Linked DNA regions of Lepisosteus oculatus. Each later gene encodes a partner of the first gene's protein in a complex. Links are inferred from orthologs where the notes say so. Each region holds a gene or a part of one and is shown in the gene's direction. Other genes may lie near its edges.

The links.
Region 2: tectonic-1 (region 1) and b9d1 share a complex: the UniProt entries of both Homo sapiens proteins name them as parts of the tectonic-like complex. The link is inferred for Lepisosteus oculatus from reciprocal best matches to the Homo sapiens genes TCTN1 and B9D1.
Region 3: tectonic-1 (region 1) and cc2d2a share a complex: the UniProt entries of both Homo sapiens proteins name them as parts of the tectonic-like complex. The link is inferred for Lepisosteus oculatus from reciprocal best matches to the Homo sapiens genes TCTN1 and CC2D2A.
Region 4: tectonic-1 (region 1) and transmembrane protein 107 share a complex: the UniProt entries of both Homo sapiens proteins name them as parts of the tectonic-like complex. The link is inferred for Lepisosteus oculatus from reciprocal best matches to the Homo sapiens genes TCTN1 and TMEM107.

The regions. Positions count from the first base shown.
Region 1 is NC_090717.1:10,245,876-10,253,352, forward strand, and holds the start of tectonic-1, read left to right. Parts: upstream 1-4,465; 5' UTR 4,466-4,759; coding exon 4,760-5,237; intron 5,238-5,485; coding exon 5,486-5,603; intron 5,604-6,600; coding exon 6,601-6,731; intron 6,732-6,908; coding exon 6,909-7,069; intron 7,070-7,477. Other genes in the region: pptc7a (protein phosphatase PTC7 homolog), read right to left, coding at 3,201-3,402. UniProt on the Homo sapiens protein: Component of the tectonic-like complex, a complex localized at the transition zone of primary cilia and acting as a barrier that prevents diffusion of transmembrane proteins between the cilia and plasma membranes.
Region 2 is NC_090714.1:12,532,701-12,540,351, reverse strand, and holds the start of b9d1 (B9 domain-containing protein 1), read left to right. Parts: upstream 1-4,643; 5' UTR 4,644-4,795; coding exon 4,796-4,855; intron 4,856-5,115; coding exon 5,116-5,184; intron 5,185-6,244; coding exon 6,245-6,356; intron 6,357-6,750; coding exon 6,751-6,847; intron 6,848-7,013; coding exon 7,014-7,076; intron 7,077-7,651. UniProt on the Homo sapiens protein: Component of the tectonic-like complex, a complex localized at the transition zone of primary cilia and acting as a barrier that prevents diffusion of transmembrane proteins between the cilia and plasma membranes.
Region 3 is NC_090696.1:45,323,473-45,330,886, forward strand, and holds the start of cc2d2a (coiled-coil and C2 domain-containing protein 2A), read left to right. Parts: upstream 1-4,400; 5' UTR 4,401-4,491; exon of another isoform or gene 4,492-4,518; intron 4,519-4,983; 5' UTR 4,984-5,082; coding exon 5,083-5,096; intron 5,097-5,836; coding exon 5,837-5,918; intron 5,919-6,577; coding exon 6,578-6,634; intron 6,635-7,231; coding exon 7,232-7,312; intron 7,313-7,414. UniProt on the Homo sapiens protein: Component of the tectonic-like complex, a complex localized at the transition zone of primary cilia and acting as a barrier that prevents diffusion of transmembrane proteins between the cilia and plasma membranes.
Region 4 is NC_090698.1:9,297,554-9,305,093, forward strand, and holds the start of transmembrane protein 107, read left to right. Parts: upstream 1-4,525; 5' UTR 4,526-4,767; intron 4,768-5,328; 5' UTR 5,329-5,410; coding exon 5,411-5,497; intron 5,498-5,889; coding exon 5,890-5,957; intron 5,958-6,435; coding exon 6,436-6,536; intron 6,537-7,333; coding exon 7,334-7,430; intron 7,431-7,540. UniProt on the Homo sapiens protein: Plays a role in cilia formation and embryonic patterning. Requires for normal Sonic hedgehog (Shh) signaling in the neural tube and acts in combination with GLI2 and GLI3 to pattern ventral and intermediate neuronal cell types.

The DNA.
Region 1 (7,477 bases):
GTCATGACTCTATGTGGCCATAAAAAAATCCCAGGGCGTTTTTCGAAAAGAGTAAATGTGTAGCCAAACTGACCAACCTAATAATCCCCATCTATGAAATGGCTTCATTAATATGTTCTCCTCCCAAGAACTGCAGTAAGATGCAGGACATTCAGCACCAATCTGAAAGGAGACACATCCCTCATCGACATCACTACAAGCCTGCAGGTTCCTGAGAAGTTCTGGCAAAGTGTGTGTGTGTGTGTGTGGAGACACATCAACAAAGTTAGTGGTGCTGCTTTGCCAGTATACAATGCCCCACCAACTCTAATGTTGAGAATTTCTGCAAATTCTCTTATACAAGTTGTCTTAAAAATAACCGATGTAAAAATGTTGTACCAAGGCACTGGCAATCTCATCTGAAACATGAAACTGCAGGCTAGAGAGAGACGAAAAAAAACAATGTGAGCCTAAGTGGTTCAGAGAAGCAATACTGGCATGAACAGGAGATAAATGTTGATTTTGCATTATAAAGCAGTTACTTTCCTCTAACTGCAGTTGCAGTAATCGGGCTGTGCAGACATCCGATTTGCAAGCTGTTTGCACTCTCTTCTCTGAGAATTGATTTGAGCACACAAATACAAATCCTCCCTGAGGATTAGTATGACTCATTCAGCAGAATAAGAAAATTCAGGGAATCGGTCTGTTCACATGGAAATGGGTAAGATTTAGTGCATCATGTGCTATTAGAATAGTAGGAGGCAGTGTAAGAGACAAAGGTAGTCTTTTTGTTCTTTCGTGCGAAACATTATTCAATACAAAAGCACATATGGACTTAAAACATATGAAGGCCTGAAAGCCGATATTAAAACTTCAGATGTCACCTATTTTTGATACCTTAAATATGCAAGGCTCTTGTGACATGAGACTGTACTCAGCAATCCTTCAAAGTCTGACAAGCTTTCCAAGAAAAACAGTTACGCAGAGTTCAACATTTAATCCCACATGAAACAAAAACACAGATAATCGATGGTAGTCCACTACTGGCTGTGCAAACACCAGCCAATTCACACAACAAAGGCCCAAAGTAGACAAACCAAAAACATGACCCTCCTTATACATCAAGCAACACTCCAGAACCCTTGCAGAGAAAGCTGAACTTGCCGCCAGGTCACTTTTAGTGCAATTTAACATTCTGTACGGGGAAAATCAAAATATGTTTTTGTTATTGGGTTCATGTTGTGTTTAACGTATTTTGTTTCGTCTTATGTCTTTTGCCTGCAAAACAAATTTCCCCATTGGGGACAGTAAAAGTAAAGATGTTTAGAGCCGACTTGCTTCCTGATATATAGATCTGTTCAATTTGCTAATAAAATTACAAGGACCCAACAAGCAAATACAGCTCTCGCATGACTTCAGGCTGCTGCTGCAGGTGGATCAGGCGCTCTGTCGTCTATGCAGAGATAAGACAGGACTCGGATACAGATTCCTCTATAGGATGATCAGAGCTGAGCCTGCTGAAACGAACGTGCACATCAGAATTTGAGCCCTTGAAGATTGAGAATATGTTGCAATTTCTTCTATTCCTAGATAATCCCATTCTTTTTAAAAGCTGTTTTCTGAATAGAGGCTGCATCAGGTTTCCCAGAAACCGGTGGCAGACATCTTTCGTTTCTGTACAAAGGTGCGCGACCTGAGTGAAACACGAAATAAAATAAACACGCGTCCTTCGATGCATACCCCCTTGACATTCTCAGTTAAGATATGGGAATAACTAAATTTTCCTCAAAACCCCCTACTAACTACCACGGATTTGCCCTTCGAGGGAAAACATGTTTTTCAAGGTCATAGTCCGCTCTGACACGTATATCCAAACTGTTGACGTCTGTCCTAGTTCAAAAGGTGGGCAAGATCACTTTGCTGCCAAAGGTCGTACCTCCTGGCCAGCCCCAGTGTTTGCCAGCCCCGGCTTGGCAGAGAACACGCCCCAGTCGTGGGTTTTCACGTTAGGACGGGCGCCCCGGGGTGACACTGGGAACTGAAACAGCTGGCGGCGCGCGCCGCTCCCTCTCAAGTGCACCTGGCTCGCGCCGGAGAAGGACAAGGACGGCGCTCGCGGGGCGCGTACAGAACGTGACCCAACATGGCCGCCTCCATGCTTAACCACCCTGACCTCTGCAGAGCGGACACCGGCTGTCCGGAAACTAAGACTGCGTTTACCCCCCCAAAAAAAGAGTAACAACGCCAGGGTGAGCGAGGATTGATGAGGGATCTAAGACCTCGTTAAGGCTTCTAACATGCCTACGCCGAGACACTACGCTCAGCACACAAAATGCTTCCTGGTGCAGCAGCCGTACGCGGAAGATGAAATAACGATCCACATCTGTCTCGCAAATACACCCAGATGAAACCCGCAAGCGTTAATTGTAATCGGAACCTTTCTCCTCATGCTGTAAAAGCTACACAATGGAGGGTTTTTTAAAACACCTTGGGAGTGCACATCATCGCCACTAGTGGTGGAGATACAAAGCCTCAGTCTACATCTCGGCGATCGAGGTAAAAGGTCACGATCACTCGCTTGCAACAAATTCAAGCTTTTCTTAGCCGCACCAAAAACACTGAAGTAGTCCTTAACATTAGTAAGTGTTTAAGCACGGTAAAATGACAATAGGTTCAAATTCCATGCATTGCAAAAACGTAGAAGCACCGTGCAGATGCAGAGGCTCTTAAACACATCCTGCCACTTAATTAGCTCTGCAGTACAAATGCGGGATAATGCCGGCATTAAAATCTTCAATGGTGATGTGCGCCGACAGGTGCAAATAGAAACAGTGTCAGAGCTGCGTGAAGGAGTATTATTGCACGACTTCGGGGAAAATCGTCTCAAGACGCTGCCGGTACCGATCAAGTACCACACACCAGCCCGGTGCCACATGTTGACATGAGACCAGGTCATGCAGTTCAAGTGACATTCCAGAAAGGGTATTTAAAAATTAAGAAGCGCGATTTACGGTGTTTTCCTTAACCTGCGTGGACTCGTTTTACAGTACTGCAGCTCAACAAACCTCCAAGGTGAAAGGGCTCCGATGCTTGATCGTTTTTTTTATTATTATTATTATTATTATTATTATTATTTCGGGATGGGGGGTAGTAGGTCCGTTGGAGATCAGCTTTAAACGCTTCGCCCTGGCGCTGAAATCAAGAAAAATCGCCGGACTTACCCAATACATCAGCGGATCTATGCCGAGCAATGAAACAGGCGTCATCGCCGTAACACATCCCCTTCTTCAAAATCCCCTTCCGAAAGTCTTTCCCGAAACCGCAGCTTGCCGTCACCAGGCTGTAATCCCGGCTATCTGTTTGGGAAAGTCCGCCCAGGACAGCCCTGGCAACCAGTCTGCCATAGGAGAGAACGGACAACATCCCCCCAAAAATAGCAAGAGTCCACCTTACCTCCTACCTACTCTCTCCTCACTCTGCCTCACTCACTAGTCTCTCAACAAAACAACATGCGGTTACCCACACTAACGAACAGGGAAAAAGGTCAGCCCCACAGTCCCAGAGGAGGCGCCTTTTTAACGTCTTTTTTTGTTTTCTGAAAGGCCCAGGACGAAGAGTACGGCTGGGAAGCGTCTTCAGGTTTTGGCGTGGTATTTCGCGAAGCCGGTGGCTCTCAGGTGCTCCATCCTCTCCGCCATCTTTCCCTGCTCAAGATTGTACAAACGCCCGGGTTCCGGCGAGCGCGAGCTCCACAGAGTTCGGGGGGCAGTCTTGTGACTCCTTGACGTCATTCGTTGTTACGCAATAGGGGGTTTTCCTTAAAAGGCCATCAATCGCGACTTTCTTCAAACTACGTTAACGGGGGGGAAAACTGTCGTTTTGAAAGGATCTGCTCTCCCCGTATCATCGCGGTCATTTTTACAGACTTTTGTCTTTACATTTTAATTCATGCCATTTAATCGCCTTTCCTCCCACCAAACGACTGCACGGCTCACTGTTACGAAGAAATGAAACATTAATCGTATTGCTTAAATCACGCGTTGTAGCTCCGTCTGCAAGAGCATAAGGCATTTCAGAGATAATGCTATCGTTTATTATTTAATTTGGTTTGGTTTAAATTAATTTAATTTATTTTAGTTTCCTGGGAAATTATTTTTACAGGATTTTATTCGTTGTATAAAGTCTTATATTATTCCCCAACCATGCAATTGGACACTACCTTATTGTTGTTTCAATCAGGAACTTAAGTACACTTCTGTGCATTACAGTTCAATCTTAAATATTAGCTTTATTTGTAAAAGTAAACTTTGCACAGATATTTTACTGAAACATTTAAATGAGCAAATAAATATTACGATCCAGCAGAATTTACCTTAAGAGGCTTGCATATTAGACGGTACCCAGATGATAAGGACAAATATACAGTGTATTTATGACGTTGCCAGTACAAATCATAACAATGAGGTACTACCATCACGTTACACTGACATTCTGAAATTTAAGAAGATCCCAAGGTTGCACGGAGAGGTCGCTGAAACTGTCGCCATTGTGGCTCAAACTGACTCCGAATGATTACACTCTGTCCTTAATTGACCCCTTTCCAAGAGCCAAGATGGCGACAGCATGCGTAAAACCTTTCGTACTTATAACCTTGAATGGAGCTTTCGTAACACTATTATTTTAACGGCCAGAAAACACGAATTCGTTTTCTTTTACTCCCATCTTACATCAGCAAAATAATAATACGATCACATGAATTATTTTATTTATTTTACCCGGGATGCCCTTCCCAAATTCAGTTCCTGGATTCGAAGGCTCAACCGTCTGTTTACGGTTACTAAGAGCCATGGCGGTGTCGCTAAGGTTTTTGATTTTCTTTAACTTCGCCTCTATCACTCGTTTGCAAACGTTTACCACGTCTCTGGCGCAGAGTGGAGACACCGGAGCGACAACGGCAGACGAGCCGTTCCCCCCAGCAGACACGAACGACTTCAACACTACGGCGGAGAACTTTGCGGCAGCTTCTGTCTCCCAGACGGCCGGAGCTGCTCCCGAACCGCCGACAGCTGAGTCAGCCGAGACGGGGGCCGCACAGCCGACCAGTGCAAGCGGTTTCCCCTCTCCTCTCAGCACCCCTGAGACGAACACAGCCCCTCAACCCGAGGCGACAGCCCGGAGCGACGTGTCTCCGAGAGCCGAGGCGCCCTCTTCTCGGCCTCTGCCGCTCTCGGGTTCCCTTCCTCCGCCTATTACTAACGGTATGATTACACAGCAGGCAATGAGCAGTTCAGTGACAGGTTGGAGATATCTGAGGGACTTATTATTTTTATTGTTGTTATTATTATTAGGGCTGCCGTGCGAGTACAGGGCAGCCCGCACTCCGATCCTGAAATCAGATTTTGTTCTGGGTCGAAACAACTAGGCATTCACCCACCACCCATCCATGAGCATTATTTTGGAGGGTCGTCAGCGGTTGCTAACAGTCACTCTGATCCTCTCTCCTCAGTCGCGAACGTGTGTCCCTGCGATCTGCTGTCGAGTCAGTGTGACGTCAACTGCTGCTGCGACAGGGACTGCGAGGGCGATTTCGCTCTCTTCACCACCTGCACCGTCGACAGACTGATGTAAGTCATCGCATGGCAACGTCCTGCATTGGCACTGGGGCTTTTCCAGACTGGGGAACCGTGAGCTGTCCTGTGCCTCTCCCACTTCGCGGCTAGGTGGCGCAGTGCTAACAGCGTGGAGTTTGTACGTCCTTCACATGCTGGTTTCTGGGGAAATTGCCTCTGGTGTGTGTGGTGTCTGTGTGAGCCCAGAGATGGACCGGTGTCCTGTCTAGGGTGTATCTTCCCTTGAGCCTGGTGCTGGCAGATATATGCTCCGGTCTCCCTGCAACCCTGTATAGGATAAGGAGGTTGGAAAACGGATGGATCGGTGTCCTACTTCCAGTCCCTCCTTAGAACTTACCAGTTATCCTATGATCTATCTTGCTCTTTCAAAATCTTACAAAATGCTGCTTGTCCTATAGTTTAGAACATAAGCACCCTTTCCTGGCCTCTTTATTCAGCTCTATTCTCTTAGTTGATGTTCTGTTTCCCCCTAATTTATGACAATTCTGATACCTGTTTTTGACTAACTGTATTTATAGTAATTGTATTTAATTTATGTTTCCTTGTATTTGTTAGATCACACTACGTAGTAGTATACTGTGTAAGTTATTTGCAGGTAACGTGTGTGTATAATGCAGAGTGTGTCATTATATCCAAAGTGCATATATTAACACAATGTATTTATAAGACATCAGTCTGAGGAGTACTATGTATGATTATATCTATTAACACTACAATAATAAATAGAAGCTGCAAAAAGTAGCGTTTTAGCAATGATAAACTGTATGGATGAAAGCCAGTTTGTAAGTGTTACTTAGATATCGCCTTTGCTTTCTCTTTGCCATGAAGTAGTTATCTACAGTCCTGTTAACATGGACCCACACAACGTTATTTCTGCATAACCGGTTCCTACAACATTTTGCAGTTCATTTTCAGTCGAAGTGCCAGCCTGGATGTGCCACTGTGGGAGCAGTGTGAGTGATGGCGTGACACTCGGTCTTGTGTGTTTCAGTGCTGACTCCCGGCTCTGCAGCCAGCAAGCTGCTCTCTACACCATTAACACAGAAGATGGCCTAGCGCAGGTAGAATCCACTGTAGCGCAAGAGATCAACCCAGGTGTCTTCTGCATCCAGACTGCCAACTGTAGGTGAAGTTTCGGTTCTAGCAACATGTAAAAAGGACCCTTTATCATCCTCCATGACTGCAGGAATAATGGAAAGGAAAAAAAAAAAGTAGCCTTTCGCATGCCTGAATGTTACTCATACGGTATATGTGATGAGTCAAAAGAGAAACTGCAAAAGAGCTTTGGTTTTTCTTTAGATAAGGATGGCTTGTCATTTGCTTCTCCGGAGATTCCCACAGATGGGAATTTTGACAGTCTGTTCAGGCAGTTCGGTGGGTTCTTCTTCAGCCCCGCAGATGGAGGTGGGACCGATACCGCCCCCGACAGGGCAGACCTGCAGGCCGCCTCTGGCTACCAGGTAAACGTGCTGCAGTGGCTCTGTGTGTTTAATCTCCGCCACAGTTAGTGTAGGCCAGGACAATGCTCAAGTATTTCTATACAGTACATACAAGTCTCCAGGTACCTTCCGTAAAAAATAAAGCTGAAGAAGGCTTCACAGCCAAGACGTTGTGTTTTCTCTCTTCTCTTTTCGACAGGGAATAAACCTATCACTTGTTCCTTTTAAGATCTGGGAAGCTGTAGTGGTGTTTTAAATTTTAAAGTGATGGAATTTTACTAGGGTGGCGCAGCAATGCAGGTTTCCTCCCACAGTCCAAAGACATTCTGGTGGGTTAATTGGCTTCTGAGGAAATTGGTCCTGGTGTGAGTGTGTGTCTGTTTGTGTCTCTGTGCCCAGCCGTGGACTGGCATCCCCTCCAGGGGGGTA
Region 2 (7,651 bases), on another chromosome or scaffold:
GCACAGTTTGGCACTTCTCTGAAGCTCAGCCCCACCTCCTGCTCCCTCAACAGAGCCAAGGGGCTCAGGGCTGCGTCCCCCAAGTGTCTCCTGCACTGTCTGTCGTCACAGCCCTCGCAGATGAAAACAAGCCTGCTTCCCCTCCCTTACGGATGGCTATGGATGCGTTATAAAGATGCGTTTTACATGCAATGGCACATCAGCAACAATCTCATCAGCAGCACAATTTTTTATGAGCTCTTAAGGAAGAACAAAACCCTTAAATGCCTACCACTATCACTTCTGTACTGAATCACTGCTAATTCAAATTAGATCAGGGATGTCAGATTCCAGTCCTGGAGGGCCGAGTGTCATCTGGGTTTTGTTCCACGTTGAGTGGTCAATTAATCAATTAACCTGATTGCTTCATTAGACGAGTGGGATTTTTTCTGAAGGGCTTTTGAAGCCAATTACTCAAAGCATTCACTTCATTAAATTCAGCAGAGTGATGTTTATTGTCAGACGATACGAAAGAACTTAAAAAAATTAAAGCTATGTGAAAACTTGAAGCTTGGTTGGAAAAAGGCAATTACATAGTTAAAGCAAATATGCAACCTAAAGCTCGGGAAACAAGAAGACTTTATACCTTACAGGAGCTGAGTTTGAACCCCCTATAATAAAATCTCTTTTCTTTACTAGTTTACTAACAGTTTGCAGTTGCTGAGGTGTGTCTCAATCTTCTATAAGGCTACTAAAATCTAAATATTTGATTATATATTTTTTTTAAATAAACTGTGCAGGCACATGTCACATCACCATGAACTCTTCACCACCAGCATGTTACTTTAGTTTTTCTGTATTTTATGTGCTCAGTCGTTCACCTGGGATGTAAGCTCTTATTTGTTCTCCTTTCAGGGAAGTCTGCCAAGTTCTTCCTTTCAGGTTGCTCTTTACTTGATTCAAAGCAAAGACACTAGATGTGCTCACTAACTCTTCGCTCTTGGTCTTCATTAGGCACTAAACACTGCACATGCTCATCACATCAATTAGATTTTCTCATCAGTTCATCACTCTGTATTCATTAATCACCAGGCACTGAAGGATCAACTTATTTAACTTCATGGCACCCAGTTCTTAATCTTCACTAATCTCTATTCACTAACAATCAGGCACGGAGTATTTAATTTGACTCTGTCACCCAATAACAGTCTTCATTAAATTCACTTCACCATAGCCAGGCAACACAGAATTCAGCTCTATTAACTCTACATTGCCCAGTTGCAGTCTACTCTAAAATTATCACTTCCACTCTAATCTCTGCTGTTGTTTTCACTAACAACTATTAACTTATTGCTAACGATAGTGGCTAATCCTTTTTGGCCAGAGACACCTGTCTGTAAACAACATCCCTGACATACTTTTTGGTTCTAATCTCATGTTCTGACATCGCTCATCTGTCTGCTGATGTTAATGCATAGGGAGTACACAGGACTCATCTATACTTCCCTCTCACTCTCAGCTGTGGGGAAGAAGGCACTGTATGCTGCTACCTCACTACACAGTGCAGTACAAGCTAAGCTATATTTTCTCAAACATCCCTCACTTGCCGAGCTACACAGGTCTGTAAGGCAGCTCAGTCCATTGTTAATGAGATCTCCCACTCTGGAGCTCTCAAACTCATTCCTTTTAGGCTGTAGCCTAAACACAGACTGAAACTTTTTTCCTCTTAACTGTTCTTATAGATCTCTTAATTAGCCCAGATGCATGGCCAATTCCTCCACAGCCTATCCTATGAGATCATTTCCCTCATATGGAATTCTACCCCTTCTCTGAGCCAATTATTCAATTTGCCCCCAGATGTGCCTCATTTTTTTCCTCAGTTTCCCCCCCCCCCATCAACAGGTGGCATTCTCTCAAAGCCACGTATCACTACCTCACATCATCATCACATCCCTTTCGAAAACCCCTGATCCGATTCGGGCTCCCAGTGGCCCAGGGTCACATTGTCCCAGGAAGCATCGGGAACAAGACAGTATACACCCTGGGTGGGACACCAGTCCTTCGTAGGTCACTACCTCACAGAGACCCAAATCTGTGGAGCCAAGTTATTGACATTATTCAACGCTCACTCACAAAATATTTGAAGTCCATTCCATCTTGGCAAACGCTTACCCGTCAACAGTGCTCTATAAATGGCCTGCCATCTGTTGATATCTTCCCTGTCTGCTGTAATTTCAGTCTGGGCTATATGAAGGTCTTTGTCTTTCCTGCCTGTACTAAAGCACATTCCTGACCTGCTTCAGGATGGAACTGACAATAAACAACACAGAGGGAGTGATGACTGGGAGGACTGAAGGACATTATGGGATGGTGATGATGAAAGACCATGTGTCCTGAAAGACTTAAGAGTGCAGATAGTCTTCTCATACCCTAAAACACACATTCAGCAAAGGAAATAGCTCTGTCTTACAGTCCGAACCTACTTGAGATAGCTTTGGTAGGAAGAGTATAAGATACATAGGCAGCTGTCGTGACTGGGCAGTGGGCTGTGTGATGCTTAGCTCTCCGTACAGAAAAGGTCACTGTATCAGTGAGTGCAGAGATAGCAATGACACCCAGCAGAGCGCATGCAGCACTGTAGCTGCAAAGCATTAGGACTGATCACCAGGGGGCGCCATGGTGCTACTATTTAACCATTGCCACCCAGGATAGTTATCTAGTCAGGCAGGATGTTCTGTTTCACCGTTACTACCATAAGAAAAGGGGAGTGTCTGAGGGGAGGGGAGGTAGTCTTTTTTAGAGGTCTTCTAAGCAGCTGCTAAAGCATGGTATACTCAGCCTGGGGGTGGTTTCTGTAGGTCACAGGAACACGGTTAATTTACAGAGCCTGAAGGAACACGTTGCATGATCTATGCTAAGCGAAACAACCCCCAGGAAAAACAAAGAAACAAGAGTTCAAAAGTAACAACAAAATGGCTTGAACTACACCCTCATCATCTATCCATTTCTCGGACACAGCTCGCCAGTTCTGTTTAAGCATCCAACAGCACAATTATGAAACTATAAATACTATTGCTTTGGTGCAGCAAATTGCATTTATGTGATTCAGCTTGTTTTATAAAGGGCAGACGTGTCCACGTTTCATCTCAGGGCTTTTTTTTTAAGGGTGCAACCGTGGCAGACTCGCAAAACAGTAGCTTTGTTGATCATATCCTCCTCCTGCTAATTAAGAGAAATCACGACAGACCCAAATCCTCCCTCCTCCATCTGGAGAATACTGCAGTAATTAGACACCAAGGGGCCGGCACTCAGGTACACATTCTGTATTGCACTTCCTTTCCGGCAGGGGTAGAGAGCGAATTATCTGGGCAAAACATTGCTCGTAACTCGCCTGAGCCTGGCCCTAACATGAGCCTGGCAGAAACCCCATCTTCACGCACGCTGGAGTTTGGGTTTTTTTTTTTTTGCGTCCTGACCTTTAAGATACACAAGAAAGAAAAGAAAGACGTAAAGAACCGTAAACAGCCTGAAATAAAACTTCGTTACAGTCCCTGCCCCCTCCCACTCTCTCTGTCAGTGTCATTGCTACCTTCCTACTATCTCCTGGAGCGCTTTGTATCACGGCCCTCCCGCCTGCCTCTGTCACGCCGTGTTGCTGTACCCAAACTGTGCAGACGGCAGAACTAACATGACAGGCAGTGTGTGACACTAATCCCTACGTACCGAGCACAAACACTCAGGGACCCGACACGCGTTAACACGGCGCTCTGACTCATGATATCTCCGGCGCCGCCACTAACTGTAACCGCAGTCGCCGTGGCTGAACTCGGGGCCGCCCCGGGCAAGACGCGAGTCCCACCTCAAGGCGCGTCAGCACCTGCGGAGAAGAACCCAGTTCGTCTCACTCTGCAGTCACTGTAGCCTTCTACTGATAGCATGGATTAAAACGGTCTTAAATGCAATACTAAACGAAAATGTTTTAACCACATGTGAAATGTTCACCATCCTTCGCATGAGGTCAGATTTAATTTTAGACTCGCTATTATGCTGGTAAACAGGAAAGAAGGATTCAAATTTACGACTTTTTCCAACCTTTTTGCCAAACTGAAAGAAAAAGAAAACTTCTTGTTATAATATAGGCGTAGATGCCTCATTTAGCCAAATGTTTTATTTCTCAGAAGCTAATAAAGATTGCGTTAATGTAAGCAGCAACGTAAAAAACATTTTTTTTATTATCACGGCCGTTTTACAGCCCTACTGCTGAGCACCAATACTGAGAGAAAACCGTCCTTTCATCGCGCACTCCAATCAGCAGCTAACTGATTGCATTGTAGCCATTTGGTTCATTCATTTCACCTCAATTTCCGATGGCTGAAGAAAAAAACTTGAACAGAGTGATTGTACATTGCATGAGTACCATCTAGAGGAGAAGGCGATAATGAGCTCTTCAGGTGTGTATACAGAGATGATAAGACGAGAAACCTTTTAGATGATAACTTCGTGACATAACACAGTACCCTGTGTGCTAATGTGGTGTAGTATTTGTCTTGGCTTTCAAGGTTATGTTTTACTGTTGGTAAAAGCATAAACCTAACGGGGCTGGGCATTGAAAAGGAGGAGAGGGCGATGTTTTTTCAATCGCTTTTTTACCTTGCACTGTTTGGTCCTCACGCTGTGCCATACAGGAGGCGTCCTTGGTATCCAGAGGCGTTGGTGACACTAACAGGAGAGCAAATAGGAATAAATAACAATAGCAATGAGATAGAACATATTTTTCAGATTATTATTATTTCGAAACGTGTGGAGACAGGGCAGAATGTCAGCCAATCCATCTGTTTTTCTGCTCATGATAAACGGTCAGATAGAGGGAGCCAGCGTGAGTATCCGCCTTTCTAGACGCACAGAGCCTCCTGTTTTTACTTACTGTAGATCCAGACGAGACTGGATACGCTTTCCTGTGGCCACATCAGTGTCCGTTTCACATCATGTTCTGTAAAATAATACAACCCGTCTCTCTGCTAACTTTTAAAAACATGTGTAGTATCTTCAGAGGCTCAATGTGTGTTGAACGGAGCGCTGTTCCAAGTGGTAAAAATTGTTTTTCTTTCGTTAAATCTCCATTTTACTGTCTCTTAGTTTCCAGAATATGACGACCTGTACTGCAAATATTGCTTTGTATACGGACACGACTGGGCTCCTACCTCGGTGAGACACTTAAGCTTGAGGGTGCTTGCTATATTGATAACGTACTGTTTCTGCTTTAAAATTCTACTGCTTTTATTCCCTCAATTTAAACTTCACGTTCGTGTTGTTAATATATTGCCCTGGTTTTCACAGTTCCCAGATCTCCGTGGTCCAGAGTCCAGGCTTGTGATCAGCTCATTTTTTGATGTTGCCTTGCTTTATAAGATCCTTGCAATTAGGACGATGTATTACTTCAGTAATGTGAAAGACAAAGTTATATCGGAAACAACTAAATCGTTTACCGTAATAAATATGAAATATTTAGCCAGCCTTTTTTTTCTAATGGCATAAACTAGTCCTGTTTTCTAACAGTTGTTTAGCAGTTATATGACTTTAACAAAAGTTTAATATTAATTTAAGCATTACCTTCATTCGGTTTAAGAATAATTCTGAAATCGTATTATCACACAGTACCTAAGATGGTGAAGAGAGTTGGTAGCTTTTAATCCCACTGAAAAGCCAAACTCTGTGTTTAGCCAGAGAGAAACTCTTGCCAACACTACAAAATGTTGTTGTGCCTCTTGGGCAAAGGCTGGGAGATCCATTTTGCATGAGGTGATGTGTGTTTTGTTGAAGGGCTACACCAAGAGGAGTCATTTATTGTTATTCACACATAAATTGACACAAATATGGACTTCGGGAGCTTAAATACCTCTTTGTTGGAATTATCTATACAGTTGACCACTGGAGATGAGGTTGAGGGACTATAACGTCTTTCTCGGTAGGAACAGGTAAGGGTTTGTTCCATGCTGAAAGGAAAAGAGAAGAGATGTGAGGTTTCGGCTTTGAAGCCTTCTTCAGGCGTGTGGAGGCAGTGGCTGTCCAAACCACTGCATTTCTTTTCCTTTCAGCCTGGAATAAATCTTTACCTGTTCCCATGCAGCTGATGCAGTTCCTTACTGGATGTTTCTCAGTAGCTCGCTGGAAGGGGAATGGCCGTCCAGATAGGTATGGCTGCGTCCAGCGGGCCCCTCACTTCCAGCGTAGGCTGTTCCGATCATGCCTGTCGCTGTCCTGGCAGGGCCTGGAGGAGGGGATCTCCCAGATCGCCTCCAAGAGCAGAGACTCCCAGCAGCGCTGTGTGTGGAACTTCCCCCTGGATATCACCTTCAAGAGCACCAATCCCTTCGGATGTGAGTGACACACCCACTGACACCGATTACCCACTACTGAAAAACTATACTACTTTCTTTTAGAAACAGAACTAAAGGTTCTTTTAGACACAGTACTGCACAAATTGTATATTTGGCTATATATGACAAAATATACTTGTAGATGGGTGTTTTTCACCTCCATTGCAGTGCTGTTGAAGAATGCATGTCAATGGCAAAGGAAGATCTGGCTCTGCGTAATTTTGTGTAGCAGTTAAGAATGACTAGGAACAATTGCTGGGCTTCGTTTGCTTGTGACAAGAACTGTATTTTTGTCAGCACCACTTCCATTTCTATCATCGCTGTGGCCAGGCTGTCACAAAAGAGAGACTGGCTTTCACTGGGCTAAGGTGCAGGTGTCTGCTCTCTTGCGCAGGGCCCCAGATCGTGGTCAGTGTGTACGGACTGGACGCGTTCGGCAATGACGTGGTGCGAGGATATGGCGCTGTTCATGTTCCCATAACCCCTGGCCAGTAAGTCTCCTGCTCTTCTCCTCGGTACTGCTATCCATTGCCCCCTTGAGTTGCACTGTGTGCAGTGCAGCATGCTGTACAGTACACCTTGCAGCAGAAAACTAATAATGAACCTGTGAACAGTGTGCAAAAACAAAAATCTTATTAATCTGTGTTCTTCTCTCAGACACAAGAGAACTATTCCAATGTTTGTTCCAGAATCTACTTCAAGACTACAGAAGTTCACAAGGTAACACCGCCACAACACAGATTAAGCATTTTATGAAAATACCATTGAGCTCTGCCTTACCACACTCGGTTTTAAATTCTGTGTTCATGGTATCTGGCCCTTATTTGCTTCTCTTGAAAAATGTCCTGACAGCCAGTTTTAAGTGAGCTTTTCAAAAACAGTAGGTTATGCCCAACCAGAGAACCAACAGTAAAATGAATGTGCAGATGAAGTAAAATACTTGTTGAATTCATTGAATGCAGAAGTTTCCCAAGGCTGTTGTTGCATTTTCCTCACTTTTATTTTTTTTATTACAAGGAGAATGCAAAGAGCCTATCCTTCAGATGTCAGGTTGCTTTAGATCTGCAAGGCCTTTCTCAAGTACCAATAATTCAAGGGCACACAGTACACTTCTACACTTTCGTATCCTTCTGGAAGTTATGGTTATATATGATATTAAAATGCAAATTGGATTTTCTGAAAAGGTCTGATTTTATACATATTTTTTAGAATAGTTATTTGGCTTACCAATACAACTGTTCTACAAGCAGAAGCAGGAATAAAGACCACACAGCTACCTTTCAAAGTGTATGTTG
Region 3 (7,414 bases), on another chromosome or scaffold:
ATAGTGAATTCTGGATTTTTTTCTTGCAAACTGGGCTGAAGCAGAGCATATCTGTTTACAGTACTTACATAATACATTATACAGCAATATATAAACAACAAAATGTGTAAAATAAAGAATACATTATATTATACATTGATATGAGTCCTTTGTTTTAGAAAGAACACAATTCCTTGATTTGATATGATATCCTGTAGCATGTTCCACAAATTATTCAGGCTGTCTGGTTGCTGTTTTAACTTATGTGGTATTCATATAATCCCAGTACCCAATGATGATGTTCATATCAGGACTTGTTCAGACCAAGGCCTTTTCAACCATTTTCAGACAAGTGGTGAGTGGCATATTTTATGATCTAAGTACTTTTTCACTACGCTGTTCGCTTGGAGTCAGTGTGATGTTGGAAGATGCATCCACGCCTAATGAAATGTGCTTCTGGTGGAATAGCATGATGGATTAGTACCTGCTGGTACTTGTTTTTGGCTAGGATAAGGTGGAGTTTTTGTAAAACTGTGCCACCTTGTTTTGATTCATATCCAAGGTTCTATTTAGTTGTGTTACTTGGACTATATAATGTGCTTCCTATTCATGTGGCTTTTCATGTGGCATGTGGTCAATTTTTAAAAAGCAATTCCAACATGGGCGCTTTGTTTAAATAAGTCTGATAAACATACAAACAAACTGTGTTTAAATATGCCTGACAGCACTTTGTGCTAAAGTACTGTATTTATTTCTGTTTTAAAAAACATGCTTTACCTTGAATGCATACTGCTTGGATGTTGAGAATGAAACTTTCATATGGAGTTTTAACAAAAGCCTTCGGAAAAAATAAATCTCTTCACATGTTCTGTTTGTATTAATTACGGCTGATACTTATGCAGTCAAACTTAAGTAGATTTCTCTTCTATGAGATCAGAGGAAATCAATGCATATGGCAAAAACCCATATACGATCAGAAAGAACAAGCAGACACCATACACACAGGTCCCCCAAGTTGGAAAGGAATCAGTTTGAGGGAGTAGTGCTAACCACCAAGCTCACAGTGGTGTCCAAAGCACCATATCCATACCAAGTTTGGAAATACTTTACCAAATATTTTTTACCCAGCAGTTTGCAATACTAGAAGTGTATGAACAAGAGAACTATATGGTGGCCATTCTGATTTATGTAGGAAGCCTGTTTCTCTATATTTATTAATTGTATAGAATCTACAATGATAGCTTTCATGTTTGAAGTTAATTGTCCTATTTTTCACAGGATCGACTTGCATTATGAAATGTGATTCACCAAACAAGAGATGACATGTTGTACCGTAAGTATATAGGGTATTACTACAACCTTTGAGGGGCAATTCTGAAGTGCAGTATGCATATCATGGAAACTGCCAAGTGTCGAGAGAATTGGTGGGGCAGTGCCTAAGACAGTGACAGACTGCATTTTTTAATAAAATGGCATTCGTTTTGTCATTTAACTTTCTGCAAGAACCGCACATTGCCATATGTTAACTATTGTCATTAGAGTTGTCCTTACCATGTTTAGAACAACATGGTCAAGCAATTTTTGCCCAGGATTGACATTGAGTAAGAGGCCACATGGCAAGTAGCAGTTGATGGCCCAATGGGGGTGGGATAATTATGTCAATACTTGTGAGGTGAAAATCACAAGAAGCTTTAGCTATTTGTGACATATTTAAATCATGGTAGATGAAGTAATAAGTGTGGCAGATGTTAATGGTATGATCATTATTTGATGAAGAGAAAATGTTTGTGAACCCCGAAGTTGTCCATTATTCTCTTATATTTTTAAGATTAAATGTAATTAGATCCTGAAAGTTCTTTGTGACAACCACTGGCACACACATCACTCTCCCCAAGAAGGATGTCACCTTTGTGTTTTGCACTTTAACGTAAAATCATTTAATCTTTCAACTTTTGGACTGCCTCCGTGATCCTAGCTTTTACTTGATGTTTTGCTGTCGCACAGTCTTCCTCCTCCTTCCAGGTTTCTCTTCACTTGGTTCTACTCAACATCTATAGATCTTCCTATTTGGAACTCTCTTCATCCTTTGTCTTCATTTGACACCAAGCACTATGCATGACTAAAATAGTCATTTGATCTTCTCATTGATTATCCAATCTCCATCTTCACTAATCACCAGGCACATGACTAAATCTGTTTTCCCAATTCTTAATCTTCACTAATTCACTAACAATCAGCCACTAGAATATTCAATTAGACTGTATCCATGAGGCTCAATCTCAGTCTTAACTAAAATCACTTCAACAACCAGGCACTAGATTATCCAGATTAAATGTTGACTGAATACAATGTTGACTAAATTCACTTTCACTCAATTCTTTGTGCAACACTTTCACCCCAACCCTTCACTCAATCTTCACCAAGTACCTGATCTTCACTTATAACCAATTACTCTTCTCATCACTACCTATAAAGCTGTCCCTGGCCAGACAAACCTCCATGTAGCCCACACTTGCAGCCTTGACACAGCAGCAGTCTGCTTAAGACTCTCTCTCTCTTCTCATAGACCACCAGTCTGTCAATTTATGAAAACCCAGGGAGTCCTCGGTACTCAACCTGTGCTAGCTAGACTACTCTCTCTCAGGAATAGGGAGATGGCATATTTCTACCTTGCCAAGCAATGCCCTACTCCAGGTGCCAAAGACTCCAGTCAGTTTTAATTAAGCAGGCTAGCTCTGTTCCCTAGCAACCAACTTCAATCCCATTGTGCCTGACAAACAAGCTATTATGCCTTAATATTCCAGTACCTTTGGTGCCAATTGAGCAAGAAACATACTGTAACGCAACGGGGGCTCAGGCGGGTGCCCTTGCCACATTAGGTCGGCCCCCCACCGTCGGGGGCTCGAACCCGTGACTCCCGCGTCACTCAGCAGGGAGCCAAAGAGAGATCTCTCCACAGCCCAGTAGCTGTAGTCCTGCTACCACAGGGAAGGGTGGTGACATCACCTGCTCTGGTACGCCGGCTCTTACACAGTGCCTGTCGGCCATAAGCATTACACCCTCCCCCGCTTAAATCACTGCCCCCAGTGAAGGGCTATCCCACACCACTCTGACACCAATGTAACGCAACAGGGGCTCAGACGGGCACCCTTGCTACATTAGGTCAGCCCCACACCGTCAGGGGCTCGAACCTAGGACTCCCATGTCACTCAACAGGGACCCAGCCCGGTGAGCCTAATAGAGATCTCTCCACAGTCCAGTAGCTGTAGTCCTGCTCACAGGGAAGGGCGGTGACGTCACCTGCTCTGGTACGCCGGCTCTTACACAGTGCCTGTCGGCCGTAAGCGTTACAATACCTTCCTCATCTTCAGGCTTTTTGGGATAGCATTACACTGCCACCTTCACATTCATTAATCTTTTGTGTAGTCAATCCTCTTCCTAATTACTATGCAGCACCCATCTGTCCTACACCTACAACAGTCCAACCTATATTTTCTCAAGCATCCCTTGTTCACTGAGAACTGCAGGTCTGTAAGCCAGCTCAATTCATTACTTATGAGACCCCATAATTTCTCACTTCTCACTTGATTGAAACCTAGACACAGACTGAAATCCTTTTCCTCCTAGCTGCTCTTACAATTCTACACTGTGCCCATCCTATCAGTTGCTTCACCTCCTATGAAATCCCAGGTGTGCCTTGTTTTTAAAGTTTTGTTTACATCAACAGGTGACTTCCCCTCAAAGCCACCTCTCACTACCTTAGAATTATTATATAAAAGATTAAAATAACCTAATTGCATGTATAATACAAAAATATAACATATATTTGGATTGTTTGACAAAATACATCCCTTTTCTAAATGCTTCATCCAATTCAGGTTTATGGGAGTGCCAGATGAGAAAAAGTGTACATAAAGAACATATTTCAATGGGTTAAAAATAATAAAATAGCTTGATCAGTCACTTAATTTGGATAAATTCAAAAAAGGAAAGTGGATCGATCATCTTCTTCTCTTTTGAATGTTATATTTTAAAATAAGGAGATGTTATGGGTGGCACAGTGGCATAGTGACGCAGTGTTGGATTCCTGGGTTTAATTCCAAACCCGCGAGTGTCACCGAGGATGTTTCGGTTAAACCCCCTTCCTCCACAAAAAAAACTCCACCCTGAATTGAAAGATCGGATAGAACTGGGGTGAATGGAGAAATAGTCCTAAAACACGTAACAAAAATAAAAAAGAAAGGTTGCTGTGAGATACGTTTAAATCTTGTTTTGGACTCCTTTTGAAATCTAATCGATTTAATGAATATAGACCCTTCCGAGCCACCATAGTTAATGACCGTTCAAGCCCGCCCTCTGCCCTGATTGACAAGCAAGTTGCTGAATGAGGTGAGTGCAGAGGAGCACTGGGGTTGTTTTTACATCAAGGTATCAAGTTTGGTTGGAAAGTAGTTTCCGTCGTTACTAAGCAGCAAAACTGAACTAGTGTTACAGCCTGCGGCAGTTGATAAGGTGTTTACAGCGAAAGAAAATATACTGGTATATGTCTGAATATCGAACAATGAAAGATATGCCAGATGTGACTTTGCATTGCTTTTATTTGAAATGTTACACTCACTGTTTCACAAACGGTATCATGCTTGTTTTATGAGATGTGCATAGATAAATTGCATTTAAACAATGCAAGGCACAGTATATTAGTTTACTTTTTTTATTTGTATAAATAACTTTGCTTATACTGTATTCTGTTCAATGTGTAATTGTGTACGTACTGTATCTGCGGCTAAAGTAAATTATTTGTTGTCTGTTTATAGCACTTCTATATAAGTAGTACACCTACCAATTAGATAGTAATTATGATGCAACAGGTTTGCCCGAGGTTGTATTTTTCTTTTGCATAGCTCTAGGGCATAAGAAACAAATCCTACCTTTTATTACAGGACAAAGATTTTGAGTAACCATTAATTAGTTGCTTAAATGACTTCAGTGTTTTTTTTTTTACAGAAATCTGAGACGGGACCCAACAATAGAAAGGAGAATTCTGAAGTGTCGAGTTTTAATTGGCATCCTTTCTTGTGATGTCAAACTGCTGTGCATAAGGACATGGCTTCTTCAAGGTAGGTGGAATTATTGGTTGATGAGGCAGTCAACATTTTTTAAATAACTGGGCCATATAATTATAAGAACATAAAAAAGCTTGAAAGAGAATGGAAGCCATTTAGTCCATAGACCTGACTTTGTTTCTAGTATCTAATTGAGCTGAATGTGTCATCCAGCTGATTCTTGAAAGAAGAAAGAGTATTAGCGTATTCCAGACATCCACAATCCTTTGTGTAAAAAGTACCTCCATTCTAAGTTTTAAAATCATTTCCCTTTAGTTTCTTTTAATGTCATCTAGTTCCACTGGCCGTATTGATAGATTTGTCTCTGCGTTTCAGGATTTTAAATGAATAAGTTAACCCTGTGGACTTCTTCAAATTCAGTGTAACTCGTGAAAATCCCCTCAATTATTAGGAGAACATGCAAACTCATTAACGTTAAGGACAAATATATCCAAAAGCATCAAACAGTTATATATTAAAGGGGGTTTACTTTTACAGCAGAGCACATCCTTAAGGTGTTAAAATCAGTTATAAGATACGAAAGCTAGTAAAGACTACCTACAGTGTTAGGGTACAATATTAAATAGGTGGATGCTACACATCGGTGGTGGAGGGGAGTCCCCATTACCTTCAAAGTGTTTTGAGTGGTGTGTCCTGATTATATAAAAGCGCAATATAAGTGTAAGGAATCTTTATTGTTTGCAGCTAGTGTTTTATTTTGATATCACTGAATTGGTATCCCAATTCTCTTTCAGTGATCTACGTGAGAAAATTAGAAAGAAGCGGAAGGCACTTCAAGAATCTTTGACAAGAGTTAAAGATGACATTGATAAACAGGTAAAATGATGATTGACTGAAGTACTGTAACTGATAATTATATGAAAATATACAGAGGGGGTAGCCGTTCAATTTGAAAAAAGGCAGAATGATAACTGGACTTACATGGCTCATACTAGGCATGTTTACTGACTGATGCACTGATTTCAAACTTCCCCAAGAGGTCTCTGTATTTATTCCTGGAGTCAGATGCTTTCTGACATTAAACAGTTTTGCTTTTAATTTCCCATAGCTTATGAATCACATAAAGGAACAATAATGTTCATTATGGCACTTCTGAATTTTTTTCTCTTAGCAGTTACTGTGAAAGATAATATTTTCCCTGTTACTGCTGTGGGCATTGAATAAGCCCCTCAACTCCACCCATCATTTCCAAAAATTAGCATTTGTTCTACAAATGCAAGATGTATCTTCTTATAAATTTAGAAAAGAAATCTAACTGTAAATGTATATTAATCCAGTCTTTTTGGTGAAAAGTAAAACGAAAATGTGTTCAGGACTGGCTCAGTAGACTGATAGCAGGTCAGATAACTTTTATCAAGGCAGCTCTGTGCAAGACTCAACAGGCCCTGGAAATGAGGTTTGTAGCCAAAGGAGGGAGGAACCTACTCCTCAGAGCTCCTTTTCACCATTAAATGCTGTGTTGTTTTGCTTGCCAGGCTTTGGTCACCACAGAAATGGAAATCAGTAAGGAAACTGAACAGGCTACTGTAGAGGTTGGTGTCTGTTCAGCCTTTCAGTTTGGTATGCTGTCTCTATAGATTTCATAAGGCACATGGATTGTACCTGTCCTTTAAACTATCTTATACTTTTTTTGCTTGTCTCTTCCGGATAAAATAACAACGCTAAACAGCACTACGGTATCTTAGTATTAACTGAATTCATTTGACTTTAGTCTAATAGGTAATTTCAAAGTAAAAAAAAAAGCATTAATATGAATGATCCCCTTGTTTCTTCAATGCAAGTGTGAGCTTGTTCTCTATGGTTTTACCTGAGCAAGTACAGGGTTACCTATTGTTCATGGCAATTAATCATCTGTTTTGATTTTAGGGAAAACTGTAAAATAGTGTAAAGAAATCCACAAGTCTGTCAAAACTTCTGATGGACATCTGAAAGCTATTCGTATGAACTGTCTTAAAAAAATATAACACATTGATTGATGATTTCCCCAGGATTTAATGTGTGCACTGCATGATACCAACCTTAAATAATTTGTCTTTTTGACAAAATTCTCTGTGGTTTGGGCTTTATTTTCAGGAAGATTGAAACTTATCAACATTCTTTTTAAAGATTCTTTTTATATTCTAACTCAGGAAATCGTTGACAATGAGGAAACACAAGTGGAAAATTTAAAAAGAACTTTGAAGGCGCAGAGACAGAGGAGAAAAAAGCCTGTAAGTGTTTTTAATTAAATAGATCACACAGTGTATAGAATTTCAAATGTGTGATACAGATGTGTTCAGTAAAGAAATACTTTTATTCTAGTTTCCATGTAA
Region 4 (7,540 bases), on another chromosome or scaffold:
CCATTCAGCAGGAAACGGCTTATTCCTGGCGAAGATCGTGGCAGAAGCACAAGGCGAAATTTATAGAGAATTTAAGAATCTGTTGTTGAAACACAACACCAGAATCCCAGAGAAAACATTGCCTTGAAGAAGTGTCCCAGGAGCTGTGAGGTCAGAGCATTCATTGCGCCTGGTGAGTTATAGACCCTCTAATAAAGGTTTGACGATCTGTCTGCTAGATTTTGACTCGATTCTATTTCCACTGGAGACAATGGCAGGTAACTGAAAAGTAACGACGCACTGGCTCGTACAGTATATTTTCAATGCGGCCAGATCCAGCAACACCTCACAGGCCACAACACAACTGTTCCCGCTCTAAAAACCCTCATCTCACGCTTTCAAACGCGGTCGTTTCATGAGCTTTTTCCGATTAACTCCACGCTGGTTCGGTAAAACACGCACCTTCCGCCTGTTCTTCCCGGGCCGAGGCTGTAAATCATATTCCGGCAGCCTGTTCCCTCGCCTCGAGAGGCTCCTGCGGCCGTCGCGTCGCCGCGCGTGCGCTCGGCTCTTCCCGCCCAGGAGGATGGCACCGCGCGCGCCAGGAGGCAGACGCACGAAACATCTCGGGGGCAGGGAGCTGCGTCCGCGAGCGCAGGCTGCAAAGGAACAAGTCGAGGTTTATTCCGGAATAAAGAGCATCTATTTATAATAAATGAATCATTCTGGGTAGATTTCATATTTATAAACCAAAATGGTCCAATAATACTCCCCTTTTAAGTACTTTTGAGGTGGAGTTGAAATATGAATTCTATAAAAAACTTAAAACATTTCAAGTATAATGTAAACAGGCGCCGTCCTTCGGATGAGACGTAAAACCGACGTCCTGACTCTCTGTGGTCATTAAAAATCCCAGGGTGTTTCTCGAAAAGAATAGGGGTGTTACCCCGGCGTCTTGGCCAAATTCCCATTGGCCCTTACCAATCATGGCCTCCTAATAATCCCCCTCTCTGAACTGGCTTCATCACTCTGTTCTCCCCACTGAGAGCTGGTGTGTGGGGAGAGCACTGGTGCATCATCCAGGTGGGGCTGCACATTGGTGGTGGTGGAGGGGATCCCCATCGCCTGTAAAGCGCTTTGAGTGGAGTATCCAGAAAGGCGCTATATAGGTATATGCAATTATCACTGCGGGTCATGGAGCAATACTCCAGAGCCTCGGGGTCGAAGCTCAACCGCCGAAAGAGCAAACCGAAGTTCTTCGGGCCCTGGAAGCACAGGACGACGGTGCCGGAGGGTCTCGAGCTCTGCACGGAGCCCCTCAAAATACTGGGGGTTTCCTTCCAGAGCCAGGACAACAAGACCAACAACTGGACCGAGAGGATCGCCAAGGTGAACGCGAAGCTGGGTCTGTGGTTTACCTGGCGGGGGTGTACCCGCTGCCGGCCAGACTCAGACGAGCGCTGCAAGGGATGATCTTCGGCTTCATCTGGGGCGGCAGGTACGAGTACATCATGAGGAACCGGATGTGTCAGCCGGTCGAGGAAGGGGGTCGAGATGTCCCACATTTCCCCCTGAAACTCGACTGCATCTTCTTCTGCAACCTCTGTCGGGCGCTGCGGGAGCCCATCGGCCACAAGTACCAGTACTTTGTCAGGCTGTGGCTCTCCGTCCCGATGAGGCACTTGGTCCAGTGGTCAAACACCGGGCCCAAGGCAGAGAGGCGACCGGAGTTCTACACCCACACTGTCAAGTGGAGCAGGAGGTACGAGGCCACGAGACAGCCAGAGCTCTGCACCAGAGCCCTGTACAAGGAGGTGAGGGGGCATCTGGTCGCAGACGAAAGGCTGCAGGTTCCCAGACAAGTCTGGGAAAGAACGCAGCCGAAAGAACTGGACAACGAACTGAAGGACCTCAACTGGATGGCCGTACACAAGAGACTGGCTACCAGAGAGGTCCTCTACAGACACTCGATCTCCAGGAATCCGCATTGCCCCCGGGACACGTGTTTCGTCGAGGAGACTCAGGAGCACGTGTTCTGGAGCTGCCCCTTTGCCAAGGCGGTGTGGGGCAGAATGGACAACATTATGCAACTCCTGGGAACGGGTGTGGTGCTCAGTTACCAGTACATTCTGCTGGGGCTGGCACCTGATTTGATTTTTAAGAACTTTATTTTCTTTTCACAAAAAAATACAGGACATCACAAATTAGAAAGCTTTACATTAATATACATACTTAAAACAGTATATATGATCACATCTCATTACATTTTGACACGGTACCAGTTACATAGCAACAATTTCTTTTTTTGTGGTGCAAATCACATTCTTTACTTAAACATGATAATGTTTTTCACAGTTTCTTGAGATATTGACCTATGCTCTCTATTTCCCACAGACTTTCTGCTTCCTCCCTCCCTTCTCTCCACAGATCTCTGAGGTAATAGTTCTCTCGGGTGATGAACAGGGCCAGGCTACCTGCTGCCTTGACTGGGACCTCGATGCCTTTGAACAGCCCCATGTTCCTCACTCTCCACAGGGCGTCTTTCCCACTGTTCACCACGGCCCAGATCCTGTCAAACACGTCAGGAGGAAGTTTGACAGGAGAGATGCCGTATATGACGCAGCGGTCAGGGTAAATTGGGGCGAGAGAGCTTGCAACCAATCTTCAAACTGTGCCCAGAAGGCCTTAGCAAAAAAGCAGGACCACAGGAGATGGGTCACAGTCTCCTCCTCGCCGCAGCCCACCCTAACGCAGCGAGGGCTGGGGGTGAGGCCCCTACGGTACAAGAAAGTTCGTACCGGTAAGCACTGGTGGACGACACTCCAGGCTAAATCTCTGTGAATGTTGCACAGAAACTTAGAGGATGTGTGTTTCCACACCTTCCTTGTTTGGGCTGGCACCTACCGGATCAGACAAGGGGACGCCGTTCCTGATGTGGCTGCTGCTGTCCCTCACAAAAAAGGCCTGTGGGACGCGAGGAGCACTCTCATCCGGCGCAACATCGAGTGGGGAGCGAGGGAGCTGGAGGAGAGGATCCTGGCGGGCCTCAGGAGGAGGATGAAGCGCGACATTGCCAAATGGGGTTTCCCCACGGCGAGGGAGTGCTGGAAAGGACTTTGGACCCTGTACAGGGATTAATGGACAACAGCAAGTGGTAGGGTTTGGAGGGACTCTCATAATCGCGCAAATCCACCCACACTTGCAATGATTGATAACGGACAATCACCGCCGTTCCGCCGTTGTTTTTATTACGTAGAGTGTTAATATGTGTGAGATGTTTCCTTTTGAGATGTTTTTTTTTCGGAATAATAAAGAAAAAAAATACAATTATTATTTGATGTATGTATAAAATATTACTTGGTCACATAAATACTTTTCCTCCTTATCTCTGGCAGTTAAGTTTTTTTCTGTTTCATCTTTCATCCATTTCCTCTCCTCTATTTGTATTTGTAAACACAAATTTGTTTACACATTTAATTTTTTTTTTAAGTTACGGTTTATTTCCTGCCGCAGAAGAGAAGAAGAGACTGTGGAGTTTCCTAAAAACGGAAGTATAATGACTCCATTAAAATTAAAAAGCGACAGACAGAAGGTAATTAAATTTTTCCTTCAACAACGACTTCAGTGTAATTAGGAGATTTATTTGTGAAACATAATTACCCAGAATAAGTAAGATCAACGAAGCTTTAGTACACATCATCTGGATCACTAGTTATTTTCTTATATTTAACGAAGTTGTTTTGATCGTCAGTGAAAATCAGAATGGAATTAACGAGGGTGTTGCATTCCTCATCAATTGTGAGATATTAATCATCATCTCATCTCTCTCCATTCATCATGTTCTGAAACTCCATTGCTGGAGTAACAGGTAAGGAACTACCTCACTGACGATACCGTTTAACTGCTAACGCGGAGTTAGTCCTTAATGTTTCGGGTCGAACCGGTCATGGTAAGAAACGACAACTGGCCCATTTTAAACTTCAATATTCGACCGTACAAGCAGCAGATAATGTCGATGAGAGTAGGAAGTAGTTCCCAAGCTCTCGAGGCAAAAAGGATTCAACAGCCGTATTAAACAAGTTTTATTTCAGTAAATCGTGAGCGGTTCGTTTCCCCCAGAAATCCTTGCGTAAGTAATTTACATATCGTGGTAATTAAGGCGTTCCTAGTGGTTCGGCTATCAGTGTCTGTTAGCAGAGCAATACAGTATATAGAGCAATATCATGGTGTGTTTTATACACTTTTTGTATATCATGGGTTAAACACGGTTGGATACATACACATTTATATGTGCTTCACAAAAGGACAAGTGATGGAGTTGATGGTGATGGAGCTAGTTCTGATCTAATCAAAAGTTTTAACAAACATGTGGCAAAAGAAAACTGTCCTTGTTTGCTACAGTCTGGAAACACACGCCCGCTCTGTTTTTAAATCTCCACTTAAGTCTCCAATTTTTTATTTGCTATTTCGTGTCACTTCCGCGATTTCCTTCGTCACCCTGTAAACGTCACCTCGCAGAACGCGAGGCTTCTCGCGAGAGTGCGCGGAGATCTGTTCAGTTGCTGTAGCAACGACAGCGGGCGGCGTGAGTGTCGATTGTTTAGTGAGCTGTTGTAAACTATGAAGCCTAATTTCAGATTTTTAAGCATAATTTGTGCTTTCATCTCATTTTCCTTTTAACTCCAAAAGTGTGTTGTTTTTGTATTTTTGTTTCATTGGTATCATATTTGCGGAGGGCGCTGGATTGTATTTGTCGGTTTGAAAATAAATCATAGCTCCACCGTAACGGTAAGAAACGAACAAATTGTTTTAAAATGTGTTAACTCTTAAATTAACACAAAAGACGGGCACCGTGTGCCGTCCTGGGTGTTTTGAAGTATGTAATACAAGTCCAGCGGTGTCGGTAATAATTCCACTAGATAATGTTATCTATTGTTGTGCAAAAAAAAATCAGTTTTTCCTCATTCCTAAAATACTCGGTGTTTGACGAAACATTAAGAAAAACGTTCATGTTCAACCGGGTTTAATAAAGAAGTGAGGAGGGACTTCGTTAGTGGAGTACGAGCGTAGTAACTTGCGTCATTTTAACATTTTGAGCTTCTAGTCACGAATAGTCACATATATTATCCTAATTGTTAATCTAAGTGATATGAAATGTAGTTTTCTTAATCTGTTCTTGTTCGCTCCACTTCTCAGTAGCAGCAGCAGTAGTAGTAGGGTGTCCGGTGAATCTTTCCTAGTGTTTGAGCCCTCGTGTGGAAAGATGGGGCCGGATCTGTCAGACGCCCCCGGGTGAAGGAAAAGAGTCCAGTTTCAGCTCTGCCCTGTCCTTCTGTTCTTCCTCTGCAGGTCCCGGCGAGCCTCGGTGCCTCTGACCTCTGACCTCGGCCCTGCCGACCTGGCCTGGCCCGGCCCGGCCCCAAAAGTAGAGATGTCTGCTGTGAGCAGCCTGGTTCCGGCCCGGTTCCTCACCCTCACTGCGCACCTCGTCATTGTCATCACAATATTTTGGTCCCGGGTACGAGCCCGCACTTCCAGCAGAACCAATTGTCAGGCTTACCCATACGTCTTAATAAGTAAACAGTCTTGCAAAATTCTTAATAGTTTTCTAAGATCTCTACTGGCTTTCAGCTTCAGTTAGTCCTTCCAATAGGTCTCTTACCACTGCCCTGTGCTGCATGGCAGTGTAGTCAGGGCTAAGCTCTCGTAACAGGAAAGTTGTGGGTTCAAATCCCAGGTGACCCGCTGTACACATGGGTACAGATATGTAAGTGGGAATAAATTGGGAATCATAAATGTTGCTGTCCCTGAAGATTGATAGCGATGTGGGACTGAGTGCTGTGCCTGGTGAATGCACCCCTGATGTTTGGCCTTCTCCCTAACTAGTGTGTCGGTGTGTTTTCCTCTCAGGAGAATAACGTCCTGGCCTGCCTGCCTTTAGAGTACACACAGGAAGAGTACAACAGCCAGGATACACAGTAAGTCCAACGGAATTTCGACATCATGTTTAAGATCGGTTGTCTGCCACAATATTAGGGACCCCCATTGCGAAATGGCGGCAGCCCAGTCCCATCCCTTTCACTCGAGTGTCTGTGGAGGGACAGTGGTGTCTGGGATTGACCTGTATCACTGGTTTCACAGCAGGATGGAGATCTGAGAGGTTGTTCTGGCCAAGAAAGGTGATGGATGGATGGTGTCTGATACCTGCACCCTTTGTTCTGCACACAGAGGAAGTGTAGTGATTTCACTGCTTGGTTCCTAATATTTTGGTTAGTGAGTGGGTACTGTACCACTCTGTATTGTATGTGTGTTTCTGTGAAAGTGTTGGTGCTGCCTGTGTGTAAATATTTACCAATGCATGGGAAGAACTGTGTGTTAAGTGTCAGTTTCGGGGTTCTCTCCCACTACAAGCCTTCTGACGTTTTGTGGGCGGTTGCTTCTCTTTCCGTGTCGCAGGCTCGTCGTGGCCCTCTCCGTGACCCTCGGCATGTTTGCCATCGAGCTGGCCGGCTTCTTCTCCGGCGTGTCCATGTTCAACAGCAGCCAGGGCCTCCTCTGTATCCTTCACACGCTGCCCAGGACTGTGGCCCGGACCTCCCTGGTCCCTTCACAGAGCTGCCCGAGGCTGATATGCTGTTCCCAGTGCAGAGTCTGGTCTCCCACCTGTTGAATTTTAGTTGGGAAGCATGTGGAGCTGTGATGGACAGCCCTGAAGTTGACAGGACCGACTTCCCCTAGGGGCAGGGAAATACTGAAAGCAGTTGGACACTCCGATCCAGCTGAGGATGGGTTGATGAATATCGGAGAGAGAGCAGGCACAGGCAGGGTTTAGCCGTCAGTGTGTCAGGCAGGGTGTCCTGAGAGTAGCGCAGTGAACAAACAGGGAAAGATGTCATCTTGCTGTGACATGTGAGATGTCCTGGTATGAGTGTATCTGAGATGGGTCTCCACTGCGATGGAGTGGCTTCCTGTCCAGGGTGCATCCTGCCTTACATCCAGTGCTTGCCAGGATAGTCTCCAGCTGTCCCGCAACCCTGAACTGGAAGAAGCAGCTAGGAATCGGGTGGCTGGAATTAGAGATGCATGTTTTGTACGGTACGCAGCTGAATTTCTGTGTTTTTCTAAGAGCCGATAAAGTTGAAAGTGCTCTGATTAAGTGAGCTGTAGGTTCAGTGAAGAGATCAGTTAAGAGACCTGGAGCTGGCCGACGCTATGGGGTCACAAAGGACCAGCAGTGGGGATCCTCCTTAAGGCTCGGGGAATCTGGGTTTGACTGGAACGGGTTCTCGTGGCCATAAGGGCACCCCGCGAGCGCCTGGGGTTACCACTCCCTGACTCAGCCACTGCCCTCCAGCCACTGCGGCCCACGCCAGCGCCGGAGTCGCGCTCGTCTTCTTCCTCTTCGAGCAGTGGGACTGCGGCCTGTACTGGTGGATATTCGCCTTCTGCAGGTCAGTGACTGAGCGACTGACGGCACAGGCAGACCGATGCACTAACGGGGGGGGAGCGCTTTTGGTCTGTTTTTGGGACTCGCTCAGAGGGAAGACCGAGCCCCCTGGTC